Rhinolophus ferrumequinum: one gene and its partners. The protein of the gene in region 1 interacts with the protein of each later gene in a pairwise test. Links are inferred from orthologs where the notes say so. Each region holds a gene or a part of one and is shown in the gene's direction. Other genes may lie near its edges. The genes, in order: HTT, PIAS1 and PFN2.

Region 1 (5,192 bases):
ATAGCAGCCCTAGCAAACTAATACACTTACCTGTTGCTGTGTGACCAATCACTGTGGCTTAACTACCCACAGAATCTCACAGGGGCCGTGGGGCAGGCATCTGCCACAGCCTAGCTGGGTCCTTCCCTTCCCAGTCTCCCAAAAGCCTACGATCAAGGACCAGTTGCCTCCACTTGAAAGCTCTACCGGGCAAGACCGGCTCCTAAGCTCATGTGTTGGCAGGATTCAGCTCTTTGTGGGCTGTCGGTTTGAAAGCCTCCGTTTCTCACTGACTTGGCTAGTGGCAGCCTCCAACATGGCAGCGTGCTTCGTGCCCACGTGTAAGCCAAGTGACGGGACCAGGGCGGGCAAGACTGAAGCCTCATCTTTTGTAAGCTAATCCAGGAGGGCCATCTTTCCTTTTGTTGGGTAGAAGGAAGCCGCCAGGGGACAGCCCACACTCTGGGAGGGCACTATGAAGGGCGTGAACACCAGGAGGGGGCCACTGGGCTGTCTTAGAACTTGGCTACCAGCACCTGACAGCTCTCGGCCAACACCATCTGGCCTGTCCAGCCTGCGGTTCGGTAAGTGGCCTGGCACACGGACAAGGTCCTTTATTAACAAACATCACGGAACTGGGACCTCAAGGGTGGTGCATGTGGTGTTCCCCTGAAGGAGAGCTGTTGCTGTGCCCTTGGGGACAATACTGCCCGTGGTGGTGGTGGGTTTCCTGTTCCCTGACCATTTGGGACAACGGACGCTCTGACAGAGGGTGGAGATGTGGCTGGTGGCACAGATAGGGCACTGCTCCGAGTGGGCTCCTGCTGCATGCATTGCCTCCCCCAGGCGGCCCTCTCGGAGGCCAGCGCAGTCCCTGCCCGCCCCCCCCCCCAGTTGCTCACCTGCCTCCCCTTGAGGTGGTGAGGCCCTGGAGCACCGACCCTTCCGTGCAGCCTGCTGCGGCCCAGGCAGAGGTGCCCACAGACCTGTGGGACAGGGGTCCTCTTCGCTGGAGGGCAGTCATTCCTGCGGTGGGGAGGACTGCTTCCCGCTGCACAGCCATCGTCTCTGTGGGCAGCAGACACTGACCTGACCGTGCTAAGCCTCTTCTCCCCTGCCCTCAGGCTGCAGACTCTGGGAGGCGCCTGCCGGCTGGCTGCCGACCCCCAGGGGTTCCCTCTCCTCTCTGGGGGCCACACCCAGGCTCTCCTCCCGCCGAGACCATTCCTGCAGGTCTCCGCCGACCTACCCGACCCCAGCTCTGCGAAGGACGCACTCACTTCTCCGTGCTCCTCACAGAAAGAGCCCCGACTACTCACGTCAGAGCAGTCCGGCGACCCGCCCCTCAGTCCCGGCCACGGGTGGGCAGGGGCGCCCCCTGGTGTCTCTCGCCCAAGCCCAGGCGGAGCTCCTGCCAGGATGAGCGGGGCGTGACCGGTATCCCCTCCCCTTCCCGCCACTCAATGCCGTGCCCCGCCCCCCACCGCCACGTCCCGCCCTCATAGCGCCCCGCCCCGCCTCCCACCTCCGTGCCCCGCCCCTCACGGCCAGGTCCTGTCCTCAGCACTGTACCCCGCCCATCACCGCCACGCCACGCCCCTCATCGCCACACACCGCGTGCCGCCCCAGTCCCGCCCTCTGTAGTGACTCGCCCCTCAGCGCCAGGTCCCGCCCACACTGCCGCGCCCCGCCCCTCCGTGTACCGCGCCCTCGCAGGGGAGGGGCGCGATTATCTCAGTGGCTGCGTCAGCTCTGGGAGGTGATCTAGTGGGCTCGAGGGAGGGCGGGCTAGCACTTCGTTTGGTCATTGGCAGAGGCCGCCGCCTGGGCTGTCAATCCCGGCGGCCCGGTCTGGCCCCGCCCCGCAGGCGGAACGCCGCAGGACGCAGGGCCGCGGGGGCTGCTGGGAAGGGTTCAAGATGGCCGGGCGTTTCGGTTCTTCTACAGCCTGCGGCCCCGAACCCCATTCATTGCCGCGCTGCTGAGCGGCGCCGCGAGCCGGCCCTTGGGCTTCGGGGGCGGTCTCCGCGGAGCGGGTTGCCGCCATGGCGACCCTGGAAAAGCTGATGAAGGCCTTTGAGTCCCTCAAGTCCTTCCAGCAGCAGCAGCAGCAGCCCCCGCCGCCGCCGCCGCCTCAGCCTCCTCAGCCGCCGCCGCAGGCTCACCCGCCGCCGCCGCCTCAGCCTCAGCCACCTCCTCCCACACTGCCGCCCGGCCCGGCCGTGGCCGAGGAGCCGCTGCACCGACCGTGAGTGCGGGCCCGCTGCATCTCCCCCTGCACCCCGGGCCCCGCGGCGACGGGGCCACCCCGCGCACGGCTCCACTGCCTTGCCTGCCGCGGCATCTCGTCCCGGCATCTCGCGTGGGCCTCAGTGCCTTCGCGCGTGCAGGCACAGCCTCTCCAGAAGGCGCCGAGGCGGCCACGGTTGTTTTTCAGCGTGCCAAGTTAGGGGGGAACTTACTGCTCTGTATTGCAAAGGGCCGGGCTGCGTGGGTAGCAGAACTTGGCGGCGCCCTGAGCGCGTCGCATCTGGCTCCCCCGGGCCACTTCCGCTCCCTCTCCTAGTCTGAGAGGGAGCAGGGCTGGGGGCGCAGGGCGCTGCGCGGGGAGCTGGGAGCTGGAGCGCTGTGGGCACAGTGCATGACGTCATGCCCTAGACTGGGAGGGCGGGCCAGTGCGGCGCCGTCTGTGGGAGATTCTTTTTGCCAGGGGCCCTTGAGACAGCTTGTGTGACTTAAGGCTGTACTGCCACATTCTCGAGACATTCCCCTTAGTCCGGGAATCGCAGTGGTAATCACAGGATTTTAAGCATCAGTAAGAGGCCTGCTTGTCCAAGCTCAAGTTTGGTCTGCACGCATTTGACCGAGTTGTGGTTGCCAAGTAAGTGGTGACCATACGTAGATGGTTATGATTGCTAACGAGTGAGAAGTAATAGAATTGACTTAAGTATTAAGAGTTGACTGAAGTTTACGGCCTGTTTTCACTTGGAAATAAAAACGACACACTGCTGAGGGAGAGAAGTTCATCGTGGGGCGCGGTGACTGATGTGCGTTTTACTGGTGGTGTCGTCCAGCCTGCTGGACAGAGCGTGGGTGTCAGCGCACCCCACGGACGTCTCCTGTTCCCTTCATTGCCGGCATCCTGATACTGCTTTCATAATAGGGATCTCTGTTGCTTGTGCCCGGGACAGTTTTTGAAACAGGAAAAGGGAGACCACTAATGGCACCCTCTAACAGAACCCAAGTATTGTTCCCTGAAGTCTTCCTGTGCTGTGTGTTGAGCAGAGTTTAGGGGGTGCTTTGCTGCAGTTCAGGCCTGTCTCAGCTCGGGGCATTAGACTTCTGATCTGAAGATGTGTAAGATGGTATTTAATGGGGACACTTTCCAAGAAGCAGCCCCTTTAAGGAGCTTGCTCTTTTAAGGCTGATTCACTCTTAGTAATGTTTTCTTGTTCTTTATGTTTCTGACATAATTCTTGCTGTGTCCTAATAGTTTAATTGGAAAATGAGGACTTGGGGAGTAATGGTGGCTTATCTGTTAGAATAAAATTTAGAAGAAATAAATTATTTTTCCTTCTAAGATGTGAAAAACCTGTTTGCATATTTAGAGAGAAAAAATTTTTTTTAAACAATTTGACTTTATCTCTAGAGCAAGTAATTTGTAATCATAACCCATTCGAGACTTATTGTATGTAATGTCTCTCCAGGAAGTGAATGTCACAGACGTTTCCACGTGTGTAAACAAGGGAAACACTAAGGGGGTCTCTGCAAGGTTTACTGCCACCTGGTGACTCCTCCACTCCGTCAATCTAAAAACCTGCCTCTGTTTCTTATGCTGACTTGTCAGAACCTGAATTTGCTTATCTTCAAAATATGGGTATACAGAGGTTTCCTTGTAAAGCCGACTTGACAAAAGTAGATTTTGTTTCATTACTTTCAGGAAAGTATGATTGACTTATTTGAATAATTTTATCTATTATTTTTGCATAAGTAATACATTCCAAAAGGTAAAAATTAAAATTCTCTCTCCCACTCCTTTCTCCTGAGGGCCTAATTCCGTCCCCGGAGGCAAGCACGGTTTTACTTCCTTCTTGTGAATCCTTCCAGATATAATCTATGCATATATGAAGATAGATTTTAAATTACTTAAAAGCAAAAGTATTTCAGAAGAGTAGCTTTGAAAGGTTCTTAGCATGCTCTGAAGTCAGTTGCTTTAGGCTTGATTATAGTTTTTTTTTTTTTGAACAGGACTTTATTGGGGAACAGTGTGTACTTCCAGGACTTTTTTTTTTTTTTTTCCCCACGTCAAGTTGTTGTCCTTTCAGTCTTAGTTGTGGAGGGTACAGCTCAGCTCCAGGTCCAGTTGCCATTGCTAGTTGCAGGGGCCGCAGCCCACCATCCCTTGCAGGAGTCGAACCGGCAAACTTGTGGTTGAGAGGACGCGCTCCAACCAACTGAGCCATCCGGGAGCTCTGCAGCAGCTCAGCTCAAGGTGCCCTGTTCAATCTTAGTTGCAGGGGGCGCTGCCTACCATCCCTTGCGGGATTGGAGGAATTGAACTGGCAACCTTGTGGTTGAGAGTCCACTGGCCCATGTGGGAATTGAACCAGCAGCCTTCGGAGTTAGGAGCATGGAGCTCTAACCGCCTGAGCTACTGGTCCGGCCCTTGATTATAGTTATTTTAAATAAAATGCATAAATATATTTTATGTACTTTGCTATTGAGAAAGCAGGTATTCGTAAATTTTGAGTAAACAACTCACTGCTTACAATTTGAATCTTGGCATTCAGATGCTTCAGCTGAAAAATCCATTCCCCACAGTAAGTTTGGCCAAAAGCAATTGAGAAAGTACCTGTTCTATTTTTATGGCTCTTGCTGTCTGTGGTGTGGAACTTTAGTGTCACAGCCATGGGTGGGCTTCAGCTGAAGTATCTGAGTGCCTGTTCTCTGACTCAGCATATAGGATGCAGGGGTCCTGGGTGGGCCTGCCGTGCAGGGAGTGCCAAAGCGTGGGAGAGTCCTCGACTGCAATTATGAAGCAGTTGACATTTGCCTTTGGCACTTTCTCATTCAGATTCCCGCCAGTTTTCCCTTGACTTTAATTATTCACTCATCAGTAAGTATTTACTGACATCTAATGTGTGCCAGGCACTGTTCTGATAGGTGCAGGGCTACAGCAGGGAACAGATAAAGCTTCATTTTAGTGAGGGATG
Region 2 (5,192 bases), on another chromosome or scaffold:
AAAGATTAAGCCAAAGGGGAGAAATCAAAGGATTTTGAAAAGGAGTCCCATTGAGGTAACAGGAAAGTCTCGATGGTGAGATATTGAGGGAAGTTCAGGGGAAAAAGGGTTTCAAAAGAAAGGAAGCTTAGTTTGCTCATTTAGTCTATTCTTTAGATTCCACATGTAAGTGAAATCATGTGGTATTTGTCTTTCTCCTTCTGATTTATTTCACTTAGTAAAATGTTCTCTAGGTCCATGCCTATCGTTGCAAATGGTGAGATTTCATTCTTATCATTTTGTAAGGGTGTAAATGTCTAATTATTACATTGTTTTGCACACCTGAAACTAACTAAATAAATAAATAAATAAAACAAATAAAAATAAATAAATAAACACGAAAGGAAACTTGTCACTTGCTTGCAATTCTGCTGAGAGGTCAATTTAGATAAGAATAGAGAATTGGCTGTAGGCTTTGGAAACAGGGAGATCATTAGTAATCTAGATAAGTGATCTTGAGGGAAGTCAAACCTGGATCAGAGTAGGCTGAGGAGTGAACGTCAAGTGAGGAAGTGGAAACAGCACAGTAGAGAGAGCTTGAAAAACTTTTCTGAGAATTTATGCACTGAAGAGAGCAGAGAAATAGGGCAGTTCTGGAGGCAACTTTGGAGTCGACAGAGGTTTGTTTTAGATGGGAGGTACTTCAGTATGTTTATATACTGATAGGAGTAATCTGTCAGAGAGTGGGGAAATAATGATGCTGGAGGGTGAGGTAATTGGAGGAATAAAATCTTTAGGAATGCGGGAGTGAAAGGAATCCAGGTCACTGGTGGATGGACTGGCCTTTACAGGCACAGGAACACTTCATTCATGGTAACCCAAATGTTACCAATGCCTGTAAGAGTAGTTTTCTATGGTGAAAAGATAAGGGAGTTTTTTTCTTTCTTTTTTTGCTGAGATGTGAGGCAAAGTTGAGCAGCAAAAAGTGAGGGTTGGGGAGAAGGTATAGGAAGTTTTCAATAGAGAGGAAAAGGTGTGAAATATTCTTTCATCATGTCTACTTAAATGTTAATTTAGTGGAGGAAGCCCTTTCAGGATTAAATACAGCTCCTCCTGACCCCTTTTCCTCTCCCTAGACCATTTACTCTTTTCTGGTACTCATCACCAGTTGTAATTGTATCATTATTGGTTGTCTGTTCCCTGATTTGAAAACTACAGGTGGGCAGGGACTCTGTTGTATTTAATTTCCCAATGTATATATAGACTTTAGAAACTGGGCCGGAACATGGTCACTAATTAAGGACTTGCTGACACAAAGAAGTTAATGAATTAACATCTTCAGAATTTTGTCTTAGGCCACCCCAGTTAAGTGCTTGCTTGGGCAGGTTACTTTTCTTCTCTGAGCTCTCATTTCTGAATATGTATCACGGGAATTGTAAACTCTTCCCTGCCTACCTTACTGGATTGTCATGAGGATCTGAGCTAATAAACCTGGAAATGCCTTCACCAAGTGATCTTTAAACGTAAGGGATTGTTTTTTTAAGTCTACACGTAGTGTCGTAGGTAGCAGGTGCTGAAAAGGACTTGCTGATTGGGGGAGGGGGACATTATTGTTTCATGTGACAGTAGCCATCGAAGCTTTGCTGAAGGGATACTCAAGCTGCGGAGGGCGGGACTCAGGCCAGCAGCCCTCTCGTTACGGCCTTTCTCTTGGAGGCGCTAGCCAGGCTAGGATGGGGGTTGGGGAGGCCGAGGGGGGAGTAACTGTCAAATCTCCCTGCTTGGCGCCATTATTTAAATAGTACGTGTCCGTTTCGCAGCTGTACGTGCCAGGGGCGGGGCTCTGAGCTCCAGAAGTGAGGAGGAGGCCGGGGGCGGGCCGGGGAGGTGGAGGGGCGAGAGGGGCCGGGCCTAGGCGGGGCCAGGCTGGCTAGATGGGCGGGTCTAGCGACGGCCCCTGGCGAGGTTCAGTGCGCTTGCGCTGACAGACGCAAGATGGCGGACAGTGCGGAACTAAAGGTAAAGCGCAGCTCGAATTCACTTCTAATATTTGGCCGCGGAGACGGCGCCGCTGGTGCCAGGGGGGATGGGTCCGACCCTGGGGGGCCGCTTGAGCCTGACTCCACCCGGGTCTGGAGTTGTAGGGAGGAGCGGCGCACCAGGCCTCAGCTGAGGGAGCCCGGCAGCGGCGGGCCGCGGGCCCCGGGTGCCTCGGGGGCGCTGACGGGTCGTCCCCGGCGTGTTATTGTTGTGGGCGCCTCTGGTGGGGGTGGTGAGGGAAGAGATCCGGAGTCGGGAGGTGGGGGCTGCGGCTACCCCTGGGGCTCGGCTTCCTCCGCGTCCAGTCAGCCTCCCCGCCCCCCATGGGGAGCGGGGGCTAGGACAGGGTGTACATGTAGGGGGGATTGGGAAAGCTCCCCGCCGCCGCTTCCTCTTCCTCCTTTGCACTCCCGGGCTCCTGTCAGGCGCTCTTCCTCAGACCCCCGGGAACTTGGCTCCGGCCGCCCCGCCCCTCCATTGCTCCCTGCCGCCCCCGCCCGGGACTTGGCTTTCCCCAGCTGCCCGCCTGTCAGGAGGCGCCCGAGGTGGCCCGCTGGTGGGCAGCGCGATCCTGGGGCGATGGGGTGGGGATGTGGGGAGAAGCTCCAGTAAAGTTTAGTGAGCTCCGGGCCGGTGTTGGGGTTCAGTTGAGGGATAGCGGGGGAGTCTGCCTGGGCGGGACGTTACTCTCTCTCTGATTTTGGGCAACCGGGGGGAGAAACCCCCTCTTTGGAAGCAGTAGTGGGTGGTGGGAAGTACCTCTCTCTTCTTTATCCTCTCTTCCTTTGGCTGGTGTGGAGGGTGAGAGGGCCCTTTGGGGGTCTGTGCACACACCATGATGGCGATGCTATAGCTGATGGAGGTGAATGGTTCGTGTTTATATCCCCCCGTTGCCTTTTGTTTGTAGGGACATCTTGCTGGCCATATTGATTTGAACGAAATTCTTCCCTCATCCTACTTCAACCCCCAATAAATAGAACGTTCCTCCGTTCCTCTCAACTGTACCAATTACTCACGCCTCGCGAAATTGGATGAAAGGGTGCCCCCCTTTTCCCCGCTCTTTCTCCCACCCCAATCTTCTTTACCTGATGATGGCTTCTTTACCGAAGCAAGTATACCACTACACAAGCAGTTGGGGGAGGGGGGTGGAACCCTTATGATTGGATTGTGACAAATGGGGCTCCGCTTGAATAATTTTGGTTTAGTAGCAGGCAGTTTTTAACTAACGCGTATTATTTCAAGGCTCTGAACGCGATCTTCCTTCTCTGTGGCTTCCTTGTGTGTGAACCAAGCAGCTGGTTATATCCTGACCCAGAGAACTGACATCTCTATCAGTGGAGATTGGGATATATAGTTGTAAATCTTTGAGGGGGTCCTGTTTTTATAATTAATAAAAATCATTTAAACAGTTTTCTCCGTTATAATGTAACGACAACTTCTACAGCAACCAAACACCAGGTTTGTTCCTGCAGAGTTTTTCTGTGGAAAGCTTCGCAGAAAGATCGTTTCGCCCAATGTGAACATTTATGTTAACGTTCCAAAATTTGTATATTAAGGCACTGTCTTTGACTGCTATTCTTTTTTCATTTACTGCTAATTACAAATTAATTTGAGCGAGAGCAGATTTAGAATGGTTAGTTTTCGTTTTTTTTCCATTTTCAAACTATTGGCTGAAATGAAAAAGCCTCAGGAATTAGAATATTTGGAGGTAATTAACTCTTGAAATAAAGAGTACTACACAACTTTAAGATACATGTTTTCTGTAGTTTTACTCTTAAAAAGAGTCACTATGTGATCTTTGCCTGATAATATTTATTTTGTAGAAATCCTTTCGAATTGTAGCTAATCAATTCTGGTATACATGGACCACACAGTAAAGCTGAAAAGCTTGTGCTGGCTATATTGTCATTCTTGATGCTGTCCACAGAAACTGGTATGGAAAGCACATGCTGGGAGATTTCCTCCTTTGTTCTTTCTCATTTTAAGAAACTGCCTTTGGGGATAGATCAGATCCCTGGTGTGAGTCTTGTTAGGTAAAGTTTCTCTTTACAAAAATGAGCCTGTATCAGATAAACGCTAAACAGTTGGGGGAAACATTTTTCTAAAATTGTTCTTTTTCGCTCTCTCCAAAATCTACTTGAGTTTTTCCAGAGGAGTTGTTTTCTACTTTTATGTTCCCGTTGTACAGTTTTTTCAAATTATATAACTGTTTTGACGTACTGGTCTGTCATTGCATGTGCCCAATTCTTTGAGGAGCTGTGATAAATTGCTTAACTAGTGAGCTGTATTAAAATTTTTGTTACTACTTGATTGTGGATAGATTTGCTATTCTTATTTTTGGAGGGTGAGATGATCTTAGGAACGCCTACCATAGTTATTTTAGAATGTGTGTATATAATTTTCTGTACAGTAAGCTTTGGAAGATAGTCTTTTTGGAAATTATATTTTCTGATGGTTTTTTTATTAGTGGTTTTTGAAGGTGAATAGCATTTATTCCTACCATGTTTCCCCGAAAATAAGACCTAGCCGGACAATCAGCTCTAATGCGTCTTTTGGAGCAAAAATTAATATAAGACCCGGTCTTGTTTGCTATTAGACCGAGTCTTTATAATATAACATAATAAATATAATACCGGGTCTTGTATTAATTTTTGCTCCCAAAGACTCATTAGAGCTGATTGTCCGGCTAGGTCTTATTTTCAGGGAAACACAGTTAATAAGACAGGAAAAGTCAGAGTACGAGTTAAGAAAAACCAAGATTTTTCAAAGTTTCAGGTGAAAATACAGTACTTCCAATGGATATCCAACTAGAAGGCTTTGAATAAATGCAGTGACTTTTTTGTTACCTTCACAACCTACATTTCATTTCGCTGTGGATTGTATTCATAATTATTTTCCTTATGGTCCATTTTAGTGAGTTCCTTTTAAATCTGTAACAAATCTGCAAAGATCAGATGGGGAAAGTGGATAGATCTGTATCTTCTGTAGGAATAGTGCAAGCCGCAACACTTAAAGATATTGTCAATAAAAATTGGATTGTGAGTCATACATATCAAAAAGAGTTCTCTGTGCACATTTGTTTATGAAAGGTTTAATTTTTCATTAGGGGAATACCCATAAATGACATTTGTGAGAATGTAGAGTGAGCATTTTATTACCTTTAGGAACTTAAA
Region 3 (5,192 bases), on another chromosome or scaffold:
ATATGCTATTACTGATTGTTAAAAGCTAAATCATTCTAGATATCTGTATCTGCTTCTGTACAGAGGTTGCTATTATCACTGTAGAGATCAGTTACCCTTAAAAAAGTAAGAAAGATAAAAACTGGTAATTCTTTTTCTCATACTGATACTCCCTTGGACTTAATTTATACTGCTATTCCTTAAACTCAGTGTTTTCTACCTCTACTTATACTTTTTGAAACATCTTGTGGTAAGCAGTAGTTATATAAAATAGGAACAGATCTTTGTATACAAATAAAAAACAAAGCAGCATTCTAGGAAGCTGGTTCTAAAGAAAATCAGCACAGGATTTTTTATCATACTATTGAAAACGGAGATTCTCTTTGAACATATCATCTAAAAATCTAAACTATACAACCTAGTTAATCAATACACAGAATATATTTTTCATAGTTGTTTAAATTTCACTATATGCAGTTCTAGGAAATAACACTATGTTGGAAAAGTAAAACCATAATTGTAAAATGTATCATTACATTTTGAAAAATATAGAAAAATGACAGAAATTCTAAACTCTTATGTCTTACCCAACAGATGTATTTTAGAATCTTTTGAGATTTGAATATCCAGAATATTCAGTTAGTCTAATCTTTTTTCTGTTTAAAGACAATAAAATAATAATAGAATGCAGTTATTTCCACCTCTTTGATATTAAAAGTCTAGAAAGGAAATCTTAAAAATTTCAGAATAAATAAAACTAGATTTCAATATACTTTAAACTGTCAGTATTTTATTATTTCTCTTTCCTCTCATTATCTGTTTACTGTTCAAATTAATTGAATTATAGCATGCATACCAAAAGCACAAATCATAATTGTACAGCTTGATGAATCCTCACAAAGTGACCATATCCATGTTATCAGCACACTGTAACATGAACTTTTAAGGTGACAATCTGCTAAAATTAAAGCATTAAAACCATTAATAACCACTACAAAAAGGCGGTGTAGTAAAGAACAAGTGTAAGTAAACCAGGTAGGAGGCACACTTGCAAAATGTAAACAATTTTTTGCACACATTTTATTCTGCATAGGTATTCCAAATCATTGGATCATTGGCATAAAGTGCTAATCTGATAGGTTTCTGACTTGGGCCTTTCTACTGTGCTTTTCCCCACCTCTTGGCAGTAGATGTACATTTCAAACAAACAGCAGAAAAAATATAAAACTTCTGAACCAATTAGATTGCTTAGCAACGTTTTTGTCTTCTTTCCTGAGCTACCTCCGTTGTAATCCTCCTGTCACCAACTGTGACTTTACACAGTAACTTAAAAGTTGAAAATGAGCTTTTCGACGTTTTAAATGCTTTCGTTTCCTTCGATTGGCAGATCATCTTTGTTCACTTAAAATTGAAATTGTTGTAGGACGTCTTCTAATTCCTTGTCTAGTCATAGCGCTCAGAGGTTACTACAGATGATGCGAGATTCACAGGACTCTACCCATCGTTTACTTTGTAAATACAAGCCATTTTCAGATCTGGGTTCCGAAATTATTTTACTCTTCAAGAGCAGAAATATTGCTATGTTCATTCAGTGAACCTTTTCTTAGATTTTTTTTTTAATATATTTTCAGCGATTTCTTCAACCCACCAATAACTTTCCCAGTTAACAAAAATTAGTTTCCATAGCTCGCTATTTGTTCGGAATTTACGAGCAATTTAGCCACACGTGATTAGCAACATTACGGGGAGAGGCTTTCTTCCAATCAAAGAATACACAGAACGAGAGGCCCCTGGTACCCAAATGAGGCAACAATGAAAGGTCCGCAAAACTCAGAAACGTTCCTACGAGCCACCAACGCCTGCTCTGATTTCAGGATACCGGAGCGCGCCCGCTCGGCTGCCTTTATAGCCGAGGGACAGAGGGATCTAGGGAAGAGGGTCCCACTGGGGACGCCGGGACGAGCGTGAGCGACTCTATCACCAGCCACCCCCACCACAAACGGGAGTAAACGCTCCGCATCCCGTCACTGGGGCAACGCTGCAATCCGACACCCAGGCTCAAGATTCCGCATCCCGAGCCACGCAGAAGAGGCGCATCGCAGGCCGTCCGCGGGGACAGACAGCGCCGTCCCTGGGGGGCCTAATGCGATGGGGGACACGTCCTCTCCACCGGCCCGGGTCCGAGGCTCCGCCACCGGCAACTACTCGGCCGCGCCGGGGCCGGTTTCCCGCACGTGGCGGCCGTGACTACCGGAGCGGTATCCCTCCGCGCCCCCGCCTCAGCCTCCTTCTGCCTTCCCGGGACCCTCCGAGTCGGGGCACCGCGGAAGGATCGCACGCACGCGCGCGTACGTTCCGCCGTGACCGCGGAGAACGGGGAGCGCCGCGCTGAGGAGCAGCCGCCGCCACCGCCGCCGCCAGCACGGCCACTCCGCAGCCTCTCGCCGCTGGTTAGTCAGCCCGGTGGCTGCGGGCGGGCAGCCGGGCCGGGCGCCCTCCACAGCGTCTTCCTCGCCGCCGGCTCCGCGTCCTCCCACCGCAGCTCCTCGGGGAGGGGGGCGGTCGGTGCCTGCGCAGAGCCGCCTCCTCCCCGCCCCCGCCCCGCCTCCCCCCGCGCCGCCGCCACCCGCTCCCGCCGCCGCCGCTGCGCCTGCTGCTCCTCGCCGTACCCGCTGCAGTGCGAAGGGCTCGAAGATGGCCGGTTGGCAGAGCTACGTGGATAACCTGATGTGCGATGGCTGCTGCCAGGAGGCCGCCATTGTCGGCTACTGCGACGCCAAATACGTGTGGGCAGCCACGGCCGGGGGCGTCTTCCAGAGCATTACGGTGAGGACCGGCCGCGGCGCGGGTACCGGAGCCCCGACCTGAGTGGTGCCGGCCGGCCGTGGGGGCGCCGCAGCGCGGGCCCGGGGCACGGAGGGCCGCGCGGGCAGGTGTGCGAGGCGGCCGGCGCCGAGGATGCGGCTGCCGGGCGGGCGGGGAGGCCGAGGCCCGGGGACGCCCCCTCGCCAGGGGCTGCACTGACAGGCGGGGGCGGCGGCCCGGCTCCCCGCGTTCCCAGTGCGGGTGCGGGTGAAGCTGGGGGAGGGAGCGCGCACCGGCCGGAGCGGGGGTGGGGGTCGCCTTTTTTGCCCTCGTGCGTCTCCCTCAGGTACCCGGGAAGCCTGCGGTTTGCTTTGCACGTCCCGGGGTGGAAGCGGGGGCCTGGGGGGCCGGGCCGGGGCGCACGGGGCCGGGGCGAGGGTCCTCTCGCGGCCGGGCCACCCTTCGCGCCGCGGACAGCGCGCCGCCCGCGCCGCGGGCTGTGGGAGGTGGCGGCTGCCCGGCCCCCGGGATCCTCGCGGCGACTTTGCGTAGGTTTGCCGGTGGCCAGGCCTCTGGGGCTTGAGGGAAATGTACGCCCACAACGTAGGTGGATTCGTGAATCTGGACTTCAGCTCTGCCTCCATAGGATTTTTTTTTTTTAATTCTCCAAGATGGCGAACTGCCATTGATTTCTCTCCTCCTATGGAGATTCATCGATATACCGTTATCCCCAATTACGCAACATAGCTCCAAAAAAGGGGGTGCTTTTATGGGGCTTTCAGTAATCTTGAGGACCGAGGGGACACCTCACTTCTTCTCCAAGTCTCTTGGAGTCCCTTGAAGAGGGAGCTCTTTAGTGATGATAGTAAGGAACTAGTGCAGATTTGTGCTTCCCAGTGCCTGATTTTGTGACTTGATGGTTTTGACTCGGTTGCCACATGTGGAGAATAATTGTCACTGAGCCTCCGGTGCTGCTTTATTGTTTTGCTTCTTTCTGCACAAGGCTCTTTCTAAAATTGTGACAATTGTATCACATCTAGGGCCAGTCTCTTAATTTTTTAGTCTCATGCCCCCTTCCCATCAAACGCTAAAATCAGGCCCCCTATTACGGGTGCTACTAATTATTCTTGTACTACTTGACATGGTTTAAGATCTAACCGGGTAGAACTCAGTCCTTGATGCTCGCACGTGAAGGGCTCCCTTCACCGCAGTGGACTACAATTCTTCCCGGGAATTGGTATCTGGCGATCAACTTTCTTCTCTGCAGTCCTCCTGTCTTTGTGTGTGAGTTCCCGCTGTCTGGCTGGGAAGATTGCGGGAGTGTGCTTGGAAATGGCTGGGGCCTGCTATGACTCTGCAGTTCTGATGGGGGCGACGCCTTCCTTCTTATTCATGGAATGTTAGCATGCACGTTTTCTCCTTTCCGGTTCTGGTGGCTACCTCAGTTTCTTTCCAAATCCCCCTCCATTTTCTCTGTTCTTTTACCATTGCCTAATGCAGTGCTACAGACAGAATCCTCTTTTCATTTGCCCAGAAGGAAAACTGATTACTGAGGTGGGAGGGGAAGATAAGTGGGAGAGAAAAAGGAGTAGTGGCTACAAAAATAGGAGGGAAATATGAATGTGGGAATGCGCTGAGGTCTCGAGTTTGAAGTTCGTACTGTGGGGGAGGGGAGATGTCAAGCTATTTGAAGCAGAGTCGAAGTGAACAGACCGGCTAAGCTTGGGCTTTATTTCAGGAGACTTTCAAGCAAGTTTAAGTTTGATGCAACGTGACTGACTGTAATGTAACTGAATATGATAGACAAGCTGTTGCTGAAAGTTTATAGGTGAATCTTTACCATTACATAAGTACTTCAGGTCCCACCTGACTTGATACAGTTTATAAATAAGTTTGTAGTTTATCTAGTGTCAGCTACCAACTGTTCATAGATTCTTTTCATAGACTAGTCTTTAATTAGTAGACTACACGGTTAACTGAAATCTAATTAATATAAAACATGTAATCATGTAGGATTAAGTAATTCTTTAAAAGACTGAAACTTGATTTTACATTAGTGAAATGTGGATGTCTCGTACTGGTAGTACAAACTTGGCATACAGTCTTTCCTGTTATATCAAGGCCTGAAAGGAATTAACTATACCTTCATGTTTTTTCCCCTTTTCTTTTTTTTTTTTTTTTTTGTGGGGGGGCAGCCAGTAGAAATAGATATGATTGTAGGAAAAGACCGAGAAGGTTTCTTTACCAACGGTTTGACTCTTGGCGCAAAGAAGTGCTCCGTGATCAGAGATAGCCTATACGTCGATGGGGACTGCACAATGGACATCCGGACAAAGAGTCAAGGTGGGGAGCCAACATACAACGTTGCTGTGGGCAGAGCTGGTAGAGGTAAGCAAGGTACTTTTTTG

Evidence for each region.
Region 2: the proteins of HTT (region 1) and PIAS1 interact in binary tests that used the Homo sapiens proteins (3 or more experiments, as listed by UniProt). The link is inferred for Rhinolophus ferrumequinum from reciprocal best matches to the Homo sapiens genes HTT and PIAS1.
Region 3: the proteins of HTT (region 1) and PFN2 interact in binary tests that used the Homo sapiens proteins (3 or more experiments, as listed by UniProt). The link is inferred for Rhinolophus ferrumequinum from reciprocal best matches to the Homo sapiens genes HTT and PFN2.

Annotation. Positions count from the first base shown.
Region 1 is NC_046288.1:86,319,332-86,324,523, reverse strand, and holds the start of HTT (huntingtin), read left to right. Parts: upstream 1-2,024; coding exon 2,025-2,227; intron 2,228-5,192.
Region 2 is NC_046289.1:43,260,940-43,266,131, reverse strand, and holds the start of PIAS1 (E3 SUMO-protein ligase PIAS1), read left to right. Parts: upstream 1-1,886; 5' UTR 1,887-1,974; coding exon 1,975-1,998; intron 1,999-5,192. UniProt on the Homo sapiens protein: Functions as an E3-type small ubiquitin-like modifier (SUMO) ligase, stabilizing the interaction between UBE2I and the substrate, and as a SUMO-tethering factor. Catalyzes sumoylation of various proteins, such as CEBPB, MRE11, MTA1, PTK2 and PML.
Region 3 is NC_046285.1:9,037,468-9,042,659, reverse strand, and holds the start of PFN2 (profilin-2), read left to right. Parts: upstream 1-1,755; 5' UTR 1,756-2,673; coding exon 2,674-2,805; intron 2,806-4,979; coding exon 4,980-5,172; intron 5,173-5,192. UniProt on the Homo sapiens protein: Binds to actin and affects the structure of the cytoskeleton. At high concentrations, profilin prevents the polymerization of actin, whereas it enhances it at low concentrations. By binding to PIP2, it inhibits the formation of IP3 and DG.